Linked DNA regions of Caenorhabditis elegans. The protein of the gene in region 1 purifies or fractionates together with the protein of each later gene. This does not show direct contact. Each region holds a gene or a part of one and is shown in the gene's direction. Other genes may lie near its edges.

Evidence for each region.
Region 2: the proteins of nfya-2 (region 1) and nfyb-1 purify together in Caenorhabditis elegans (affinity purification with western blotting; one study listed by BioGRID). This does not show direct contact.
Region 3: the proteins of nfya-2 (region 1) and nfyc-1 purify together in Caenorhabditis elegans (affinity purification with western blotting, with the first as the bait; one study listed by BioGRID). This does not show direct contact.

Annotation. Positions count from the first base shown.
Region 1 is NC_003279.8:11,222,597-11,228,032, forward strand, and holds the start of nfya-2 (Nuclear transcription factor Y subunit nfya-2), read left to right. Parts: upstream 1-2,239; 5' UTR 2,240-2,289; coding exon 2,290-2,291; intron 2,292-2,350; coding exon 2,351-2,432; intron 2,433-2,483; coding exon 2,484-2,559; intron 2,560-2,607; coding exon 2,608-2,681; intron 2,682-4,771; coding exon 4,772-4,858; intron 4,859-4,913; coding exon 4,914-4,980; intron 4,981-5,436. Other genes in the region: Y53H1A.2 (C2H2-type domain-containing protein), read left to right, coding at 45-377, 1,094-1,243, 1,306-1,377. UniProt on the Caenorhabditis elegans protein: Component of the sequence-specific heterotrimeric transcription factor (nfya-2-NF-Y) which specifically recognizes a 5'-CCAAT-3' box motif found in the promoters of its target genes to regulate their expression and control cellular identity in particular tissue types.
Region 2 is NC_003280.10:460,575-469,157, reverse strand, and holds nfyb-1 (Nuclear transcription factor Y subunit nfyb-1), read left to right. Parts: upstream 1-1,792; 5' UTR 1,793-1,821; coding exon 1,822-2,026; intron 2,027-2,252; exon of another isoform or gene 2,253-2,309; intron 2,310-2,604; coding exon 2,605-2,766; intron 2,767-2,914; coding exon 2,915-3,115; intron 3,116-4,587; coding exon 4,588-4,706; intron 4,707-4,980; coding exon 4,981-5,137; intron 5,138-5,777; coding exon 5,778-5,854; intron 5,855-6,484; coding exon 6,485-6,584; intron 6,585-6,954; coding exon 6,955-7,145; 3' UTR 7,146-7,491; downstream 7,492-8,583. Other genes in the region: tomm-22 (Mitochondrial import receptor subunit TOM22 homolog), read left to right, coding at 478-648; W10D9.3 (MKRN2 opposite strand protein-like C-terminal domain-containing protein), read left to right, coding at 8,399-8,401.
Region 3 is NC_003280.10:41,606-45,730, forward strand, and holds nfyc-1 (Nuclear transcription factor Y subunit nfyc-1), read left to right. Parts: upstream 1-2,301; 5' UTR 2,302-2,339; coding exon 2,340-2,372; intron 2,373-2,428; coding exon 2,429-2,518; intron 2,519-2,569; coding exon 2,570-2,830; intron 2,831-2,875; coding exon 2,876-3,119; intron 3,120-3,173; coding exon 3,174-3,244; 3' UTR 3,245-3,312; downstream 3,313-4,125. Other genes in the region: F23F1.10 (Reverse transcriptase domain-containing protein), read right to left, coding at 1-77, 239-373; rpt-4 (putative 26S proteasome regulatory subunit 10B), read right to left, coding at 758-876, 928-1,655, 1,705-2,057; rpoa-49 (RNA polymerase I associated factor, A49-like protein), read left to right, coding at 3,440-3,574, 3,624-3,773. UniProt on the Caenorhabditis elegans protein: Component of sequence-specific heterotrimeric transcription factor (nfya-1-NF-Y and nfya-2-NF-Y) complexes which specifically recognize a 5'-CCAAT-3' box motif found in the promoters of its target genes to regulate their expression and control cellular identity in particular tissue types.

The DNA of each region.
Region 1 (5,436 bases):
CCCGAAAATTTCTGCAAAATCACTTTTTTTTTCCAATTTTTCAGGATATTTCCTGTTCCTCAAACTACACATCAGACGAAGATGGACCAAAAGTGCTCACTACAATGAGAAATATGTTTGCGGAGCAGAAAACCGACGAATATGAGCTGGTCTACGACAATAATTCGCAAAATGTGCCTCAAAATTGTTCACCGAAAAATCAATATTCGCCCCCGCAATCTGTGCAACAAGCTCATTATTCGAATTTATCACATTTTCATCCTAGAAATCCAGAATTTTCACAAGAAATCGTGGAAAATCGAGTAATTTCTCCAAAATCTGAGCATCCGGAAGAAATAGAGGATCACGAAGATGATGAGGATGGCCAAAGTGAAATGGTACTGATAAAAAACCCCGATTCTAACAATTTTTGCCCTGAAAACATGAAAAATCATCAAATTTCAGCCAATAGGACGAAAATTCGTTTGGTTGAGGCTCACAGACTACAAACTACAAACCGCAATCATTTTAAATAGGATTTTATTCAATTTTCGCTTAAAAATTAATTTATACTATTAAAAAACCTAATTTTCAGTTGAAAATCGTATTAAAAAATTCGTTGAGGCTAAAAAAATTGTAGTTTGTAGTCTGTTAGCCTCACCCAAAACATTTTCGACCAAAAAAAAAACGGTTTTCCCCAATTTTTTGTATAAAAATGAGTAAAAACGGCTATTTCATGATATTTATTAACTTTTTACGATAATAACCTTCAATTTTTACGAAAAAAATTGGTTGAGGCTAGAAAAATTGTAGTTTGTAGTCTGTTAGCCTCACCCAAAACATTTTCGACCAAAAAACTGATTTTTCTGCAATTTTTTTATATGAAAATGACTAAAAACTGCAATGTATTAAGCTTATAACTCACTTTTTCAATCCTAAAACACCAAAAACTAACGCAAAACTGGTTGAGGCTAAGAAAATTGTAGTTTGTAGTCCCTGAGCCTCACCCAAAACTATTTTCGGCCGAAAAAACCGATTTTCTCCCGATTTTTCTTATAAAAATGACTAAAAACTACAATTTCATGGATTTCGCCCAACAATTTCGAATTTTCAGAAGCACAATTGCCCGGAATGCCCGAAAAAGTACACATCGGAACGACGTCTCAAGCATCATATCGTTGTACACCGCAATCCGGACGCCTATAAATGTCAAAAATGTGGATATTGCTATCAGAGCCCAGATAGTCTCCGGAGACACTGGAAGGTAGCAAAAAAATCGAATTTTCACTGAAAATTTGACAAAAAATTAATTTTTTTTTGTTGCAGAAAACTCCGAATTGTGACGAGTTTCCGCCGAAGATTAATGTGAAAACAGAGATTTTGGACCCGGATTCATGAATTTTTAAAATTTTTTTTGATTGTTATATTGTAAATTACATTTTTTTACTGTGTACTATTTCTGACACTAACTCGATTTCCCAGTGGCCTTATTCATACGCTCATTTCATTGATTTTCTCGGTGCATATTTAAATTTTTATTCAGTTTTTGATTGACAAAATTCATTTTAATTGCAATTTATATTGATTTTTCAACGATTTTCTCAGTTTTTTCCTCAAAAATTGCCCATTTTTATGCGAATACCTTCATTTTTTTTTCACCCAAAATGTGTAGTTTGTAGTGTGTGAGCCGCAACCAAAATATTGGTTGAGGCTGAGAGGCTATAAACTACAAACTGACACCGCCTCAACCAAGTTTTTTTGTTGAATTTTGAAGCTAAAATCTTTTTTCAGAGTTTTTTGTGAAAATTTTAACAAAAAAAAAAACAAAAATTCATTTGAAAATTAAAAAATGTGAAAAATTTCACGAAAAACCAAAAAAAATCCCGTTTTTAATCAGAAATCATGAATATTTTCAGATTTTTCGGATAAAAATAACAAAGTCTGTAATTTTCAACCAAAAAATGTTAATATCAGTTTTTTAGCGGAAATTATAAAAAAGATCACTTTAAAAAAATGGAAATTACGTATTTTTCCATTAAAAAGTCCGAAAACTAGCGATTTTCCAGTCGAAAAATCAAAAATTGCCTATTTTCTGCTGTGAAATACATGAAATTCGCATTAAAATTAAAAAAAAAAAACCTCCAAAAACTGATTTTTCCCTCAAAAGTCCCAAAAAATTTGGTTGAGGCTATGACATTTTGTAGTTTGTAGCCGAGGCACGCACACTACAAACTACAAAATTTTAATAATTTTTTTTCAGCATTTCCATCACAGCTTGAGTCTGCCCGTAAAAATCGTGTAAGAAACAAAATGTAAGTTTGTTGAGGCTCACAGACTACAAACTACAAAATTTTTTGTTTTTTTTTTTCAGGAATCCACGTGGAAATCCGTCGAAAATGCCGACTCAAATTGTGTTAAACAGACGTCCAGCAGCACCAGCAAGACCTCAAACAGTAGGATTTTGAAACGAAGAGACTACAAACTACAAACTACACAATTTTCAGACATTCACCTCACTGTCCCAATATCACATGTACAATACGGCGAGCACATCATCGGCTCCACCGCCACCACCAAATCGTACGTGCCCGGAAAAAAATAATTTTCTAAAAAAAAATTTTTTTTTAGAAAATTTCGGTCAAATTCGAGAAGCTATCCGAACAACTCAGCCGACAACTGTTCAACTTCCGCCGGACTGCAAAGTACTGTAGTTTACAGCTGTTTTTAGGACATTTGGACGACGTTTAAGGCCTTGAAACGGCTCATTTGACCGAGATTTTCCAAAAAAATTTGAATTTTTCGACCGAAAACTCGCTTTGAAGCTCGAAAATATTTTGGTTGAGGGTCAAAGACTACAAACTACAAAATTGCTTGGCCTCACCCAGATTGAAATTTTACGTTTTTTTGTTGTTAAAAACGCAATAATTTGCGTTTTTCATTATTTTTTAGCAGAAATTTGTTAAAAAATCGGTTTTTCCAGCCTAAAATGTTTTGGTTGAGGCTCACAGACTACAAACTACAACTTTTTCAGCCTCAACCAATTATTTTCTAATTTTTTGGCATTTTTCTCACCGAAAAATCTAGTTTTTATTATTCATACACGATTTTTCCGCCAAAACTACGGGTCTCGACACGACAATTGTTGTTATTTGAACGCAAAAAGGTATAAAAGATACTGTTCTTTCAAACTTTTGTTCCTGCGGTTTTTTATCGATTTTTTTGTAGTTTTTTCGGTTAAAAAAATTATTTATTCAATAAAAATTTCAACAAATCGTGAAAAAAAATTAAAAATCGATGAAAACTCCACAACAACAAAAATTTGAAAATACAGTAATCTTTAAAGGCGCATATCGGTTCGCGTTTAACAAAAAAAGTGTCGTGCCGAGACCCGGTACCGTATTCTTGGCACGAAAATCGCAATATTTTCGCGTCTATATAATATAACAATTAAGTTTTTAAAAGGGAAAATCACTGCAAAAATACGAAATATAATGGTTGAGGCTGCGAAAGTTGTAGTTTGTAGTCTGTGAGCCTCACCTCTGAGCCACGCCGGAATGCAAAGTACTGTAGTTTACAGCTGTTAAGGACATTTGGGACACGTTTTAGGCCTTGAAAATGCACATTTTTGAGAGTTTTTCTAAAAAAAATTTGGACTTTTTCAGCCAAAAACTCGCTTTGAAGCTCGAAAAATAATTTGGGTGAGGCTCAAAGACTACAAACCACAAAATTTCTTGGCCTCACCCAGATTAAAATTTTACGTTTTTTTTTTGTTAAAAATGCAATAATTTGCGTTTTTTCATCAGCTTTTGAAGAAAAAATTCGTTAAAAAATCGAAATTTTTTATCGAGTAAAATGTTTTGTAAAATGTTTTCGTTGAGGCTCACAGACTACAAACTACAACTTTTTTAGCCTCAACCAATTATTTCGTATTTTTTGGCGTTTTTTCTCTTCAAAAATTCAATTTTTATATAACATACACGAAATTGTGCAATTTTTTCGGCAAAACCACGGTACCGGGTCTCGTGACGATAATGTTTGTTAAACGCGAAAATGTATGCGCCTTTAAAAAGTACTGTAATTTCAATTTTCACCGATTTTTAATAGGTTCCAATAAAAAAAAAAACATATATTTACTTAATAAAACATAAATTTCTACAAATCGTGAAAAATATTAAAAAATCTATGAAAACCCACAAAAACAAAAGTTTGAAATTACAGTACTCTTTAAAGGCGCATATCTAATTCGCGTTTAACAAAAGTTATCGTGTCGAGACCCGGTACCGTATCCTTGGCGCAAAAATCGTGAAAATTTCGCGTCTGTGTAATATAAAAATTGAGTTTTTAAAGGGAAAATCACTGCAAAATTACGAAATAAACTGGTTGAGGCTAAGAAGTTTGTAGTTTGTAGTCCCAGAGCCTCACCCAATGCATTTTCGGCCGGAAAAAGCGATTTTCCTTTTTTTTTCTAATAAAAATTACTAAAAACTGCGATTTCATCAACTTTATTGCTTATTTCCAATAATAACCTTTAATTTTGACGGAAAAAAATGGTTGAGGCTGCGAAAGTTCTAGTTTGTAGTCTCTGAGCCTCACCCAAAACATTTTCGGCCGAAAAAACCCGATTTTCCTCCTTTTTTGTATGAAAATGATTAAAAAATGTAATTTCATTAGTTCTATCGCCTTTAAATCATTAAAAAAAACGGTAAATTTTATGCAAAAAAAAGTAGAGGCTAATAAATTTGTAGTTTGTAGTCCGGGAGCCTCACCCAAATCAAATCCCCATCAATTTCAGCTCGTCGAATACACGTGGCAAGAGAACGGTGAATCTCGAACGGTTTTAATTCCAATGTCGAATGATTCTACGGAAGATGACGTCAGAGTGAGAGAAAAAAAATCAATAATCAATAATTAAATAAAATAACAAAAATTTTCAGTCAGCACTTCCCCAATCGGTTCTAGAATCGATAAATCAGCATCAAAATCAGCTTAGACAGGGAAATGGTGAGGCTTAAAGGTGGAGAGACTTAGTTTTTTTTAGACCAAAATTGGTCGAAAACTACCGAATTTCGTAATGAGACGTTCTGAAAATTTCAAATTTCTCAAAAAAAAAAGTAATGGCGGTTCAAAGTTCAGCAAAATAAGGCCCATTTTCAGCTAACATAAAATCAAAATTTTTTCCAACTTCTCGGTGTTGCAACGTCTGTAACCTAATTTTTATTTATTCATCACTTTTTAATAAATATTGTGGTTTTTTACTAGGCGTTTATTCGTTGCTTTAAGTACATATACGGTCTTTGGGGCACAAATAAAAGTTACATTTGTGCCCCATTGACCATAAATGTACTTAAATTAACGAATAGACGCCTAGTAAAAAACCACAATATTTATAAAAAAGTGATGAATAAATAAAAATTAGGTTCCAGACGTTGCAACACCGAGAAGTTGGAAAAAGTTCTG
Region 2 (8,583 bases), on another chromosome or scaffold:
TGAACCGAGAAAAAGTTGAAAATTTGCCTATTTTACACTGAAAACTCTAAAAAAGATTCAATTTTCTTTCAGTTTTCCCGAATTTCTGCTCTAAAAACTAAAAATTATCGATTTTTGCAGTATAACATCTAGAAAATCAACAATTTGACAATTTTAAACTGAAAAAAAGTAAAAATTCGGCCTTTTTTATTTGAAAACTCAAAAAAATCTTATTTATTCCTCTAAAAACCAAAAATTATTGATTTTTGCTATAAAACACTCGGAAAATCAACAATTTGACAATTTTTAATAGAGAAAAAATTAAAAATTTGCTTATTTTACACTGAAAACTCTAAAAAAGAATATGTTTTCTTTCAGTTTTCCCGAATTTCTGCTCTAAAAACTAAAAATTATCGATTTTTGTAAAAAAATCTCAATTTGACAGTAAAAACTCATATTTCACACTGAAAACTCCAAAAAAACTCAATTTTCTTTCAGTTTTCCCTTACAAAAAGCACAATTTGGGTTGTATCTACAACGTCATTGATCGCCTTCCTTCCATACATTATCGAAAAGGAACGAAGTGATTTGGAAAAGACTCAAGTGGCTCAGCAACGTCAAATGCTTCTCGGACCATCTGCGGCCATTCAACAAGCCAAAACTGCTTGAAAAACTTGATTTTCTCGCCGAAAATCCCCCTTAAAACCGTCTGAAATTGATCTTTTCCTAGATTTTCCCCTGTTTTTCGTCTTCTGATAGCTTTTTTTGCGATAGAATTCATTATCATATAAATTGTTGATTTTCTAACATTTTTCAAGGATTTTTCTAGCACAATATCCCGGTTTTTTCATCCAAAACTTGTATTTTTATCGATTTTTTTGACGTTTTTCACTTTTTCCAGGTAAAAATCCGAATTTTAAGCTTTAAAAAGCCTTAAAAAACACAAAAATTGCAAATTTTCGCGCTGAAAGTCGCATAAAATTGAATTTTTATAATTTCTGTTCGAAAAATCTTCAATTTTTCGCTGAAAAATTTTTTCCCTGGCAAAAATTCAAATTTTGGGTCTGCTAGGCTACAAACTACAAATTTCGATTTAGCAGACCCGATTTAGAAGAAAAAACGAAGAGTTTTCAGTCTAAAAAGCTTGAAAAATAGCCTTAAAACTTGATTTTTTCGCTTTTTTATTGAAAAAAAACAAAATTTATCATTTTTATCCCAGAAAATCGCTGAAAACCCCGAATTTCGCCTATTTTCTTCGTTTTCACCCAATTTTCTTCAAATTTTCGCAATTTTCAGCTCATTTCCATTATCTAAATTTTTTGCAGCACTGTATTCGGGTTATTTCATCCAAAATGCGTATTTTTATCTTTTTTTCTTGTAGTTTTTCACTTTTTTTCAGGCAAAAATATATGAGACATCGAATTTTAAGCTTTAAAAATGCTTAAAAACACAAAAATCGTCAATTTTTGCACTAAAAGTCCCAAAAACTTCAATTTTTCTAATTTTTATTCGAAAAATGTTCAATTTCTCGCTGAAAAATTGCTTTAAAAAAATTTAATTCTGAAAATTTTTGGTCTGCTAGACTACAAACTACAAATTTCGATTTAGCAGACCAATGTGATTTTTAAGAAGAAATTACGAGTTTTCACTTCGAAAAGCTTGAAAAATGGTCTTGAAACTTGATTTTTCCTGTTTTTTAATCTAAAAAATTAAAAATTTAGCATTTTCAGCTCGGAAAATCGCTGAAAACCCCGAATTTTTGCTATTTTTCCTTGTTTTCACCTTATTTTCTTCAAATTTTCGCAATTTTCAGCCCGTGTCCACCGTCTAAAAGCTCCCAAAATGGATCCAAAACCCATAAACGAAGGAATGTTACTGGAGGATCATGATCATGGAATGCCTGAAGAAGAAGAAATAACAGAAGATGATATGAATGGAATTCATAATATAGAAGAGGATACACGAACAATTAGTGAAATAGCAATGGAGCTTCATCATCCGAATAAAAGTCAAGTTTTACTTGATCAGGAACGATTTTTGCCAATTGGTATGGGAAAACATGCGGAAATTTTGATGAAAATCGATAAATTCCCGGAATTTTACACGAAAAATTGAAATTTCTTGAAAAATCTAGACTGAAAAGTGAAAAAATTCATAAATTTCCGATAAAAACCGCCATTTTTTCTAAAATTGCCCTTTAAAATGAAAAAATATCACATGGGTCTGCTAAATCGAAAATTGTAGTTTGTAGTCTAGCAGACCAATTTTGTTCAAAATCACTTTGGTCTGCTAAATCGAATTTTGTAGTTTGTAGTCTAGCAGACCAAACTTCTTCAATATCTATTGGTCTGCTAAATCTAAACTTGTAGTTTGTAGTCTAGCAGACCAATTTTGTTCAGAACAACAATGGTCTGCTAAATCGAATATTGTAGTTTGTAGTCTAGCAGACCAATTTTTTACAATTTTTTTTTCAAAAACATAAATTTTCGACAAAAATCGATTTTTTTTGTAATTTTTTTTTCAAGAATTGAAAGTTTCTCTGCAAAAAGGCATCAAGCTCGAGATTTTTCAATTTTTTTAAAACAAAAATCGTTGAAAATTCTCCAAAAATCCCAATTTTTTCAGCTAACGTGGTCCGAATCATGAAAACTCAAATGGATCCGCAGGCGAAATTGGCAAAAGACGCAAAGGAGTGTGCTCAAGAGTGTGTTTCAGAGTTTATAAGCTTTATCGCTTCGGAAGCCGCTGAAATATGCAATATTACGAAGCGGAAGACTATTACTGCAGGTAAAACCGGGAAACTCCGTCTAAAATTACCCGCAAATCGTCCAAAAACTACAATTTTCGCATGGAAAACCTTTTTAAAAACTCAAAAACAGCCCAAAAGCCCAAAAAACCCTAAAAACCGCAATTTTCAATATAAAAAAATTTCCAGACGACCTGCTCACCGCGATGGAAGCCACAGGATTCGACAATTACGCGGAGCCAATGCGAATTTTCCTTCAAAAGTACCGTCAGGCTCACAAGATCACTGGACCAATTCACAGAACACACCCAGACTACGTACGGCCTCCACAATTTCAAATGGATCCTTTTGTTCGGCCATTATTCTTCGATACGGAGCAAGGACGCAGATGTTCGTGTGTGAAAATCGGAAAATTTTGCCTGAAAATAGATTAAATTGATGGAAAAATAGAAAAAAAAACTGGAAATTTGACTGGAAATGGATTAAATTTATGGAAAAAATAGTAAAAAACTAGAAATTTCACAGAAAATAGACTAAATTAGTGGAAAAAAATAGAAAAAACGAAATTTGACAGAAAATAGACTAAATTTATGGAAAAAATAGTAAAAAACTAGAAATTTGACAGAAAATAGACTAAATTTATGGAAAAAAATAGAAAAAACGAAATTTGACAGAAAATAGACTAAATTTATGGAAAAAATAATAAAAAACTAGAAATTTCACAGAAAATAGACTAAATTTATGGAAAAAATAATAAAAAACTAGAAATTTCACAGAAAATAGACTAAATTTATGGAAAAAATAGAAAAAACCGGAAACTTGAAATTTAGACTAAGAATTGTTTTTTTTTCAAAGATTGAAGTACTGAGAATGATGATTTTTCATTTAAAAAAATTGTCAAAACTCTGAATTTTTTGCTGAAAAATATTCAGAAGCCGAAATAATAGTAAAAAAACGGTGAAAATTGCATTTTTTCCACATAAATCTCAAAAATTCATTTTTCAGTTTTTTTCAACTACAGTATCCTTTGAAGTCATAGAAAAAATTACAAGATTCGCAGAAAACTCGAAAAAATCATAATTTTAACGCTAAAAACTTAAAATTCAGAATTTTTGGCTTTTAATTTCGGCTTCTGAGTATTTTTCAGCAAAAAATTTAGAGTTTTGACACATTTTTAATGAAAATTATCATTCTCAGTGCTTCAAGCTTTGAAAAATTAATGGGAAGAATAGTAAAAACCTGAACAAAAATGGTTTTCTCTGGAAAAATTCCTAAAAATTTTTTTCAGAGCTTGAAGCACTGAGAATGATGATTTTCCTTTAAAAATTTGTCAAAATTCTAAATTTTTTGCTGAAAGTTGCACAAATTCTTAATTTTGAATTTTTAGCGTTAAATATATGATTTTTTCGAGTTTTCTACGAATCTTGCAACTTGTTCTATGACTTTCAAGGATACTATAGTTAAAAAAAAACTAATAATGCATTTTTAAGATTTATATGGAAAAATTGCAATTCTCACCGTTTTTTTCCCAAAATTTTGAATTTTTCGCGAAACTCAGCAGCTTTGCATAGTAGTTTCAAGCGACTTTTTTTCGGAAAAATACCGAAACTTGCTCTGAAAATGCCATATAACTCCTATAAGGATTACTGTAGTTTCTCTACAAAAATAAATTTCTGTGACTCATGTCCTTCTATCCAAATTGATGGCTGGAATATCGGTATTCTCGGCTGAAACATGCAATAAATACCGTATTCCAACCAACAATTTGTGCAATAGAGCACATTTGTCACCGGAGATGCGGAAGCTATGCCCAAATTTTCAATTTTTCTAGGAAAATGATGAAAAAAATTGCAATTTTCCAGGTACCGAGACTCAATACGTGATAAATGGCAGTGAAATTGTGAAAAATGCTCCATTGGGAGAAGAATGGAATGAGCAAACTGGTACATTGAATACCCGCGCAGATGGATATTATATGGAGGTGAAAATTGGATTTTCTGGATGGAAAACTGTGGAAAAATGGATTTTTCCACTAAAAACCTGAATTTTTAACTCAAAAATTGATTTTTTTAACTCAAAAATTGAATTTTTAATTCAAAAATTGAATTTTTAATTCAAAAATTGAATTTTTAACTCAAAAATTGAATTTTTAATTCAAAAATTGAATTTTTAACTCAAAAATTGAATTTTTAACTCAAAAATTGATTTTTTAACTCAAAAATTGATTTTTTAACTCAAAAAATTCGATTTTTCAGGAGCCAATGGAGCCGATGCCGATGGAAGAAGTAGAAATTGAAGAACACGAGGAAATTATTGAGCAAGATTCACTTGGAGCCATCGCCTTGGAGCAACAAGGCCAAATGCAGATTTATGTGGATCCAAAGACGAAACAACATTTTGCAGCGAAAGAAAGTACGGAATTTTTTATGAAATTCTGAATTTTCCAGCGTGAAAATTGGAAAAATTGAGAAAAATCGATTTTTTTTTGTGAAAATTCCGGAAAAATCGAAGTTTCGCCGATTTTGTGGCGTTTCCAGAAAATTTCTCATTTTTTTCCTTAAAAATTAGAAAAATTAGATTTTTACAGCACAAAAAAAACAGAAAATTGAAATTTTCTTGATTTCCAGCTCAAAAATTGGAAAAAATGGTTTAAAACCGATTTTGAACGGAAAAAATCTAGGAAAATCGATTTTTTTTTTGGTGAAAACTTCAGAAAAAATCGAAATTTCGTCAACTTTTGTGGATTTTACTGAAAATTCCCTATGTTTGCCGTAAAGATTAGAAAAAATTGGTCCAGATTTGATTTTTACAGCAGAAAACTAGAAAATTCAAATTTTTTTTGATTTTTAGCATAAAAACTCGAAAAAATTGGTTTTAATTTGATTTTCTACCTGAAAAATCCGAGAAAATCGATATTTTCCCGATTTTTATATTAAAATTTGTGAAAATTGACATTTTCTCGATTTTTCTGAAAACAATTGTGAATTTTCTCGATTTTCTGTCAAATATCTAAGAAAATGTTTTTAAATAATTCCGGAAAAGCAAATTTCAGCTCCGAATGGCATGGAACTCTACCCTCTGATCATCCAGGACACCCCACTGCAATTGGAAAATGTTTCTGGGCCAAATGTACGATTTCCAGCACTTTTCACAGCGAATTTCAGATTTTTAGTGCGAAATTCGAATTCAGCGCCTCAATTTACCCCCAGAACCCTGTTTCCCCGTCTTCTAGCTCAACATTTTGAATATTTCGGGTTACTGTAGCCCCAAGAGTACGCAAACACCGACTACTGTAACCCAAAGCACCAGATTTTACGGCATTGGCGAATTTCGAGCTGAAAATTGATTTGACGGGGTAAATTGGAGTGCTGAATTCAAAAATCGTATTTAAAATTTCAGAAAATTTGATTTGAAAATCGGAAATTTTGAAATTTTCAGACAAATTTTTTTTTGGGCAAAAACCTTGTAATTTTGAAATTTTAATGCGAAATTCGAATTCAGCGCCAAAAATTACCTTCATTTTCCTTTTCCCCGTGCTTCTAGCTCAAAGTTTGAATATTTTGGGTTACTGTAGCCCCAAGAGTACGCAAATACCGACTACAGTACCCCAAAACACCAGATTTTACGAAATTTGCGAATGTTGAGCTGAAAATTGATTTCCCGGGGTAAAATTGGAGTGCTGAATTCGAAAATCGTATTGAAAATTTCAGAAATTTTGATTAAAAAATTTTTTTTGTTCGAAATTTAATATTTTTTCAGCAATTCGTTATGAATATGCCAGATGGACGAGCAATACCCCACGGAATGGGACAAGAAGAGCCTCAGCCAGTGTCAAGTAGCTCAGTTATGCGGAAAATCGGTAAAATATTGCATTTTTTAGTGATTTTCTGTTCAAAAATGCTGAAAAATGGAGATTTTACTGGTTTTAATGGGAAAAAATCAAGTTTTTAGCATTTTTGAGCCATTTTAATCGGGAAAAAAGTGATTTTGAAGCATTTTAACCCCAATTTTCCAGTTTTATAAAATGAATTTTCCGATTAAATAAGTGTTTTCATGTATTTTCAGCTAATTTTTAGTCTTTTTTAATCGAAAAAACTGATTTTCAGCCAATTTTTCTTTTAAAAAAAGTGATTTTAGGCATTTTTGGCCTATTTTTACCTATTTTGCATATGTTTTTTTCAGAAAAATGAAATTTTTGCACATTTTCAGTCAATTTTCCCGATTTTCAGGTCAAAATCCGTCTTCCTATGCCCAGCAGCACCACCACGTCAGCCACGTGGAACAACACGATGACGTGGAATATGAAGAAGAAGAAGAAGTAGATCAAGTAGAGGAGGATACAGTACCCGTTCCAATCGCGCCGAGACCCGCAGCCACCCGAGTTCAGCCGAAACGAACGCCGACGAAGAGGAAAAAGTAGAGAAAATTGCAAAAAATGATAATTTCTCGATTTTTATTGTATTTTTCGCATTTTTTCACCCTGAAATCCCAACTTTTTGAGGAATTTTTAAAATTTTGCACTGAAAATCACCATTTTTACCGAATTTTTTATTGGATTTTTTCTCATTTTCCCTCAAAACTGAATCTGAAAACTGCAATTTTTGCAAAAATTCAATTTTCCAAAATTTTCCATTTTTCATTGATCTCCATCGTATCCATTTCCTTGACAACTTAACATATACAATTGTAATTATTTTTGAAATATTTATTCATTTATTTATTTATATCTCTAATTTATTGCAAAAAAATAAATTCAATTATACCCCAATGCCTCAGTTTTCACTTAACCACCAAAAAAATTCGTTTCAAATCGATTTTTCAATTTTTCCACACTTTTCCCATTGAATTTCAAATTTTCAATGCGAAATTCGAATTCAGCGCCTCAAATTACCCCTATTTCCTTTTTCTCCCGGCTTCCAGCTCTAATTTTAAGAAAATTGGGGTACTGTAGCTCCAGGAGTACGCAAACACTGACTACAGTACCCCAAAACGCCTGATTTTACGACACTTGCGAATTTTGAGCTGAAAATTGATTTGACGGAGTAAAATGGGGTGCTGAATTCTAAAATCGTATTAAAAATTTCTGAAAATTTTTATTTGAAAATCTGAAATTTTGAGATTTTCAGAGAAATTTTTTTTTGAGGCGCCAAACTTGTAAGTTTGAATTTTCAATGTGAAATTCGAATTCAGCGTTAAAAGTAACCCTATAGTCCGTTTCTTCCGGCTTCTAGCTCGAAATTTTAAAAATTTGGGGTACTGTAATCCCAAAAGTGCGCAAACACCGACTACAGTACCCCAAAACGCCAGATTTTACGACATTGGCGAATTTTGGGCTAAAAACTGATTTGACGGGGTAAAATAAAGTGCTGAGTACGAAAATCGTATTGAAAATTTTTGAAAATTCGATTTGAAAATCTTAAATTTTGAGATTTTCAGACAAAATTTTTTTTGGCAAAAAACTTGTAATTTTGAAATGTTTAATGTGAAATTCAAATTCAGCACCTTAAATTGGCCCTTATCCCCGGTTTCCCTGGTTTTCAACTCAAAAATGAGAAATTTTGGGTTACTGTAGCACCAAGAGTACGCAAACACCGACTACAGTCCCCCAAAACACTTGATTTCACGACATTGGTGAATTTCAAGCTGAAAATTGATGTGACGGGGTAAAATAGGATGGTGAGTTCGAAAATCGTATTGAAAATTTTTGAAAATTCGATTTGAAAATCTTAAATTTTGAGATTTTCAGACAAAATTTGTTTTTGTTTAAAAAAAAATCGAAAATTTCAAATTTCAATGCGAAATTCGAATTCAGCGCCTCAAATTACCCCTATTTCCCTTTTTCCCCGGCTTCCAGCTCA
Region 3 (4,125 bases), on another chromosome or scaffold:
TTTATTGGAGAAGAGATTTCAAACAGTTCCAGACGAGATTCGAAATCTTTCGGTAGCTCCTCCGGGCGCCAATTATCCTAAAAAAAGATTTTCTGGAATGTTTTTGTGTGAATTGAAACTCTCGAATGACGCAAATAGCCGATCTAATTATATTATTAACGAGCCAGACATTTTGTGTTTGAATGGGGTAGTGGCATTTCCGAGTATAAATCTCATTCCAGAATATATCAGCTCAAACCTTTTCTTTTTCCAGCTCAACTCTAACTGCTTCTTGTTCCTCCTGGGATATGCTCACTGATTTCAGGTCCTCCAGTTCTGTATACTTGATGGATCCGATACGAGCGATTGCAGATTTTATACTGGTGCTCGCCATTGCTCTGAAACGAAAATTTAATTGAAAAGCTTCATTTTCTATTTTCTTTGAAAAAAATCGAACAATTTTCGACCTTTTGTGGGTTTTATTCAGGATAAATTGAGAATCTTTACACGAAAAGTGCCTTTGTGCCAAATAAAATTGAATTTTTTTTTTGAAAGTCTGGAGAATCGAAAAATTACTATAATATTTCGCGATTTTTTTTACGAGGCTCGTCATTATTTGGGTCTACAAATATTATTTATCGAGAAATCTACTCCATGTCAAGAACCAGCCAAAAATAATTTATGATTCGGATCTTCTTTTTTTACACGGAAACATTGAAAACGGGATAATGGTTAAAAGATGCAAACGGGAAAGGTCCAATAAATACGAAAAAATCAATTAGACAGGTTTATAGTCGAGCTTCGTCTCAAGTCTCTTCGCGTCTCCAACCTTGCGAACAGCTTTCATAAAGTCCTCGTCGATAACGAATTCACGCTCAGCACGGATGGCAAACATTCCTGAAACAAAAATGATAATTTGAATGCAATTTTTATGATTCAACTCCTCACCAGCTTCTGTGCACACATTTCTTAAATCAGCAGCCGAGAATCCGTCGGACAACTTGACAACAGCTTCAAAATCTATTTCGCCGTGTTTGGTGATCTTGTTCGAGTGAATCTTGAGAATTTCCAAGCGAGATTGTTCGTTTGGCAGTCCGATTTCAATCTTTCTATCAAGTCTTCCAGGACGAAGAAGAGCAGGATCCAATGTATCAGGACGATTCGTGGCCATAATAACCTTGACTTTTCCAAGCGAATCGAATCCATCGAGCTGATTGAGAAGTTCCATAAGAGTTCTCTGAATTTCACGATCTGCTGATGTTCCTTCTGAGAAACGTCTTCCACCGATCGCATCAATTTCATCCATGAAGACAATGCATGGCTGATGGTCACGAGCATAATTGAACATTTCTCGAATCATTCTTGCAGACTCTCCGATATATTTATCAACAATAGCAGACGAGACAACTTTCAGGAAATTGCAATCCAGTTGCGATGCTACAGCACGAGCAAGGAGAGTTTTTCCTGTTCCCGGTGGACCAAAAAGCAGACATCCTTTCGGGGGAGTGATACCAACACGTTTAAAGAGTTCGGGATTGATGAGTGGGAGCTCCACAACTTCACGAAGCTCGCGAATCTGCTCAGCGAGTCCTCCGACATCTGAATAGCTAATGTTACCAGGATCTTCGTGAGACATTTTGTAGACTAGCGGATCAACTTCACGTGGCAGCTGACGCCTGAAACATTTCGGTTTAAGACTTTTTGTTTAAAAAACTAAAAGCTTACATGATAGTAAGAGTTGTCATATCCAACGAAACTCTTGTCCCTTGCTTCAACTCTTCCTTGTTAATACTGCGACGGCATCCGACAACATAACGAGGACCATTGGTTGCCTTGACGATGAATTTCTCTTCACTGAGCTGCTTGAGCACTTCTCCTACAATTTGTCCAACAGATTGCAACGACTTGATATCGTTCTCGGATTTGTCAAATTGTTTGGTCATCTCGCTTTCTTTTTTTCGCAAGTCCTTCAACTTCTGTTCAATGTCACGGCACTCTGCCAATTTTCTTCTATAGCTGTTGAGCGCCTTAGTGCGTTCATCCTCTACGATGGCGGGACCAGTTGGTTCAACCATGTTCTGGAATTCAGAAAATATCTAGTTTTGAATGAAAACATTTTTTAATCTGTATAAGATGTAAAAATCTGAAAAAACGAGGTTCTCATGAGGAAAGAACGTCAGAAATGAAAATCAGAATTGAAATTGTCATCGTGTCCAACAGAGCGCAGTTGATCGAGTCCGCAATCTTCCGCCTCGGTGTACGTGCACACAATGCACAATATTTCACGACAGAAGAATAGTGTTGTTTTAATTTATTTTTTTCTAATTAGTTTAAAGTTAATTTTTCTTGCATCTGCCGTGATGTCGCAATTCCCAGAAGTTTTAGACAATAATGTAAGTAATACAATTTAAAATTTTCGACTTCCCAGCAAATGTTTCATTTATTTCAGCTTTTACACGCCGAAAACAACGAAACTGCCGAATACATACAAAATGATGGGACAAATCAATCAGAAGTGTTCATGGAACATCCCTACACGGTGAATAAAATCAACTCGTTTTAAAAACTTATTTATTTTATTTCATTTTAGCCGAACATGCATCCAATAAATATGCCTTCTATTGTAGAAGGTGCGGTTCATCCTTATAATAATTTAATCCATCACAATGATGCGATACCACCGGCAAAGTACGCCTCGATGAGACAAATGACAGAAGATTTCTGGCGTGAAAAAAAACAGAAAATGACTGAGATTTCTGAAGAGGATATGCTGAACAAGTCGAAAAACATGAGCGTTCCCATGGCTAGAGTGAAAAAGATTATGCGAATAGACGACGATGTTCGCAACTTTGTGAGTAGTGTCATTTTCCAGCCGATCTTCATACACTTTTTACAGATGATCGCGTCTGATGCTCCGATATTTATGGCTCAAGCAGCCGAGTTTTTCATTGAAGAAATGACCGCAATGGGCTGGCAATACGTGTCAGAAGCAAGGCGACGAATTCTTCAAAAAGCCGACATAGCAAGCGCAGTGCAAAAAAGTGATCAGTTCGATTTTCTCATCGACTTTCTACCTCCGAAAACGGTGCCAACAACTTCCACAAACGGCCCAGGCCATATGAGTGAAGACAGTTTCCAAGGTTTTCGGTTTTTTTCCTAAATATGATTTTTGTGCAATTTTTAACCTTTTATAGATCCCAACATGCATTCCGACTTTCACCAGAGAACTTCAAATTCTTCAGTCAACCGATCTCACCACAATTGATCTTTATAATAATATTTTCTTGCTTATATTATGTATTAAAATTAAGTTCGTGGCGCCTGGCGCCCTTTAAAAGCTTGAATTTATACCTTTTTTGTCTAAAAATACTGTGTTTCATATGCACATTCATATATTTTCTTATTTCTTTGTTTTTCATTTTACAGGCTTTTACTTTGAAATCTTTAAATTTGAGGCGAAATGTGGTTGTCAAGTGAGGAGCTGAGTGCGAAGAAGACGGCTTGCCACGTGAGAAATGTGGAATCCAACAAAGAATTTGCAGATTCTGATATCGTTGCCTCATTCGTGCACAATCGGCCAAAAGATTTGAAAAACGTTTGTTCTAAAGCACCTTCTTTCAAATGAAAATAAAAATCCATTTTAGCTGACATTCGAAAGACACGGAAAAGGAGGACGTAAAAAAGCGCCAATATTCAGCGTAAAAGGAGATATTAGCGAGCATGTTGTAGAAGTTGGGGCAGATGTTAATTGTCTTGATGAGGGATTCGATTTTGCTGTTGCTTTGGTTGATAAGGTAATTTTGAGTGTATTTTAGCTAACAAATTCACTCTTTCAAAGGCTGAGTACCGAAACCTGAAAAATATTTTGGTACTAGTTCTAAATCACCCCGCCACTTTTTTTCTTTTTTTTCAAATAAAAACGTGTGGAGTTTTTGTATTTTTAGGCTTAGGAAATAGCCATTTCTAAGCCTAAAGATGGAAAATGGACATCACGTTTTATTAAAATGAATAATATTAAAATGAGGGGAAATAATACACAAATAAAAAAAGTGGCGGGGTGATTTAGGACTAGTACCAATATTTTTTAATGACTCCAAATTTTCCCCTGATTCCGAAAATCTATCAAAAAAAAATTTCACTGACTTT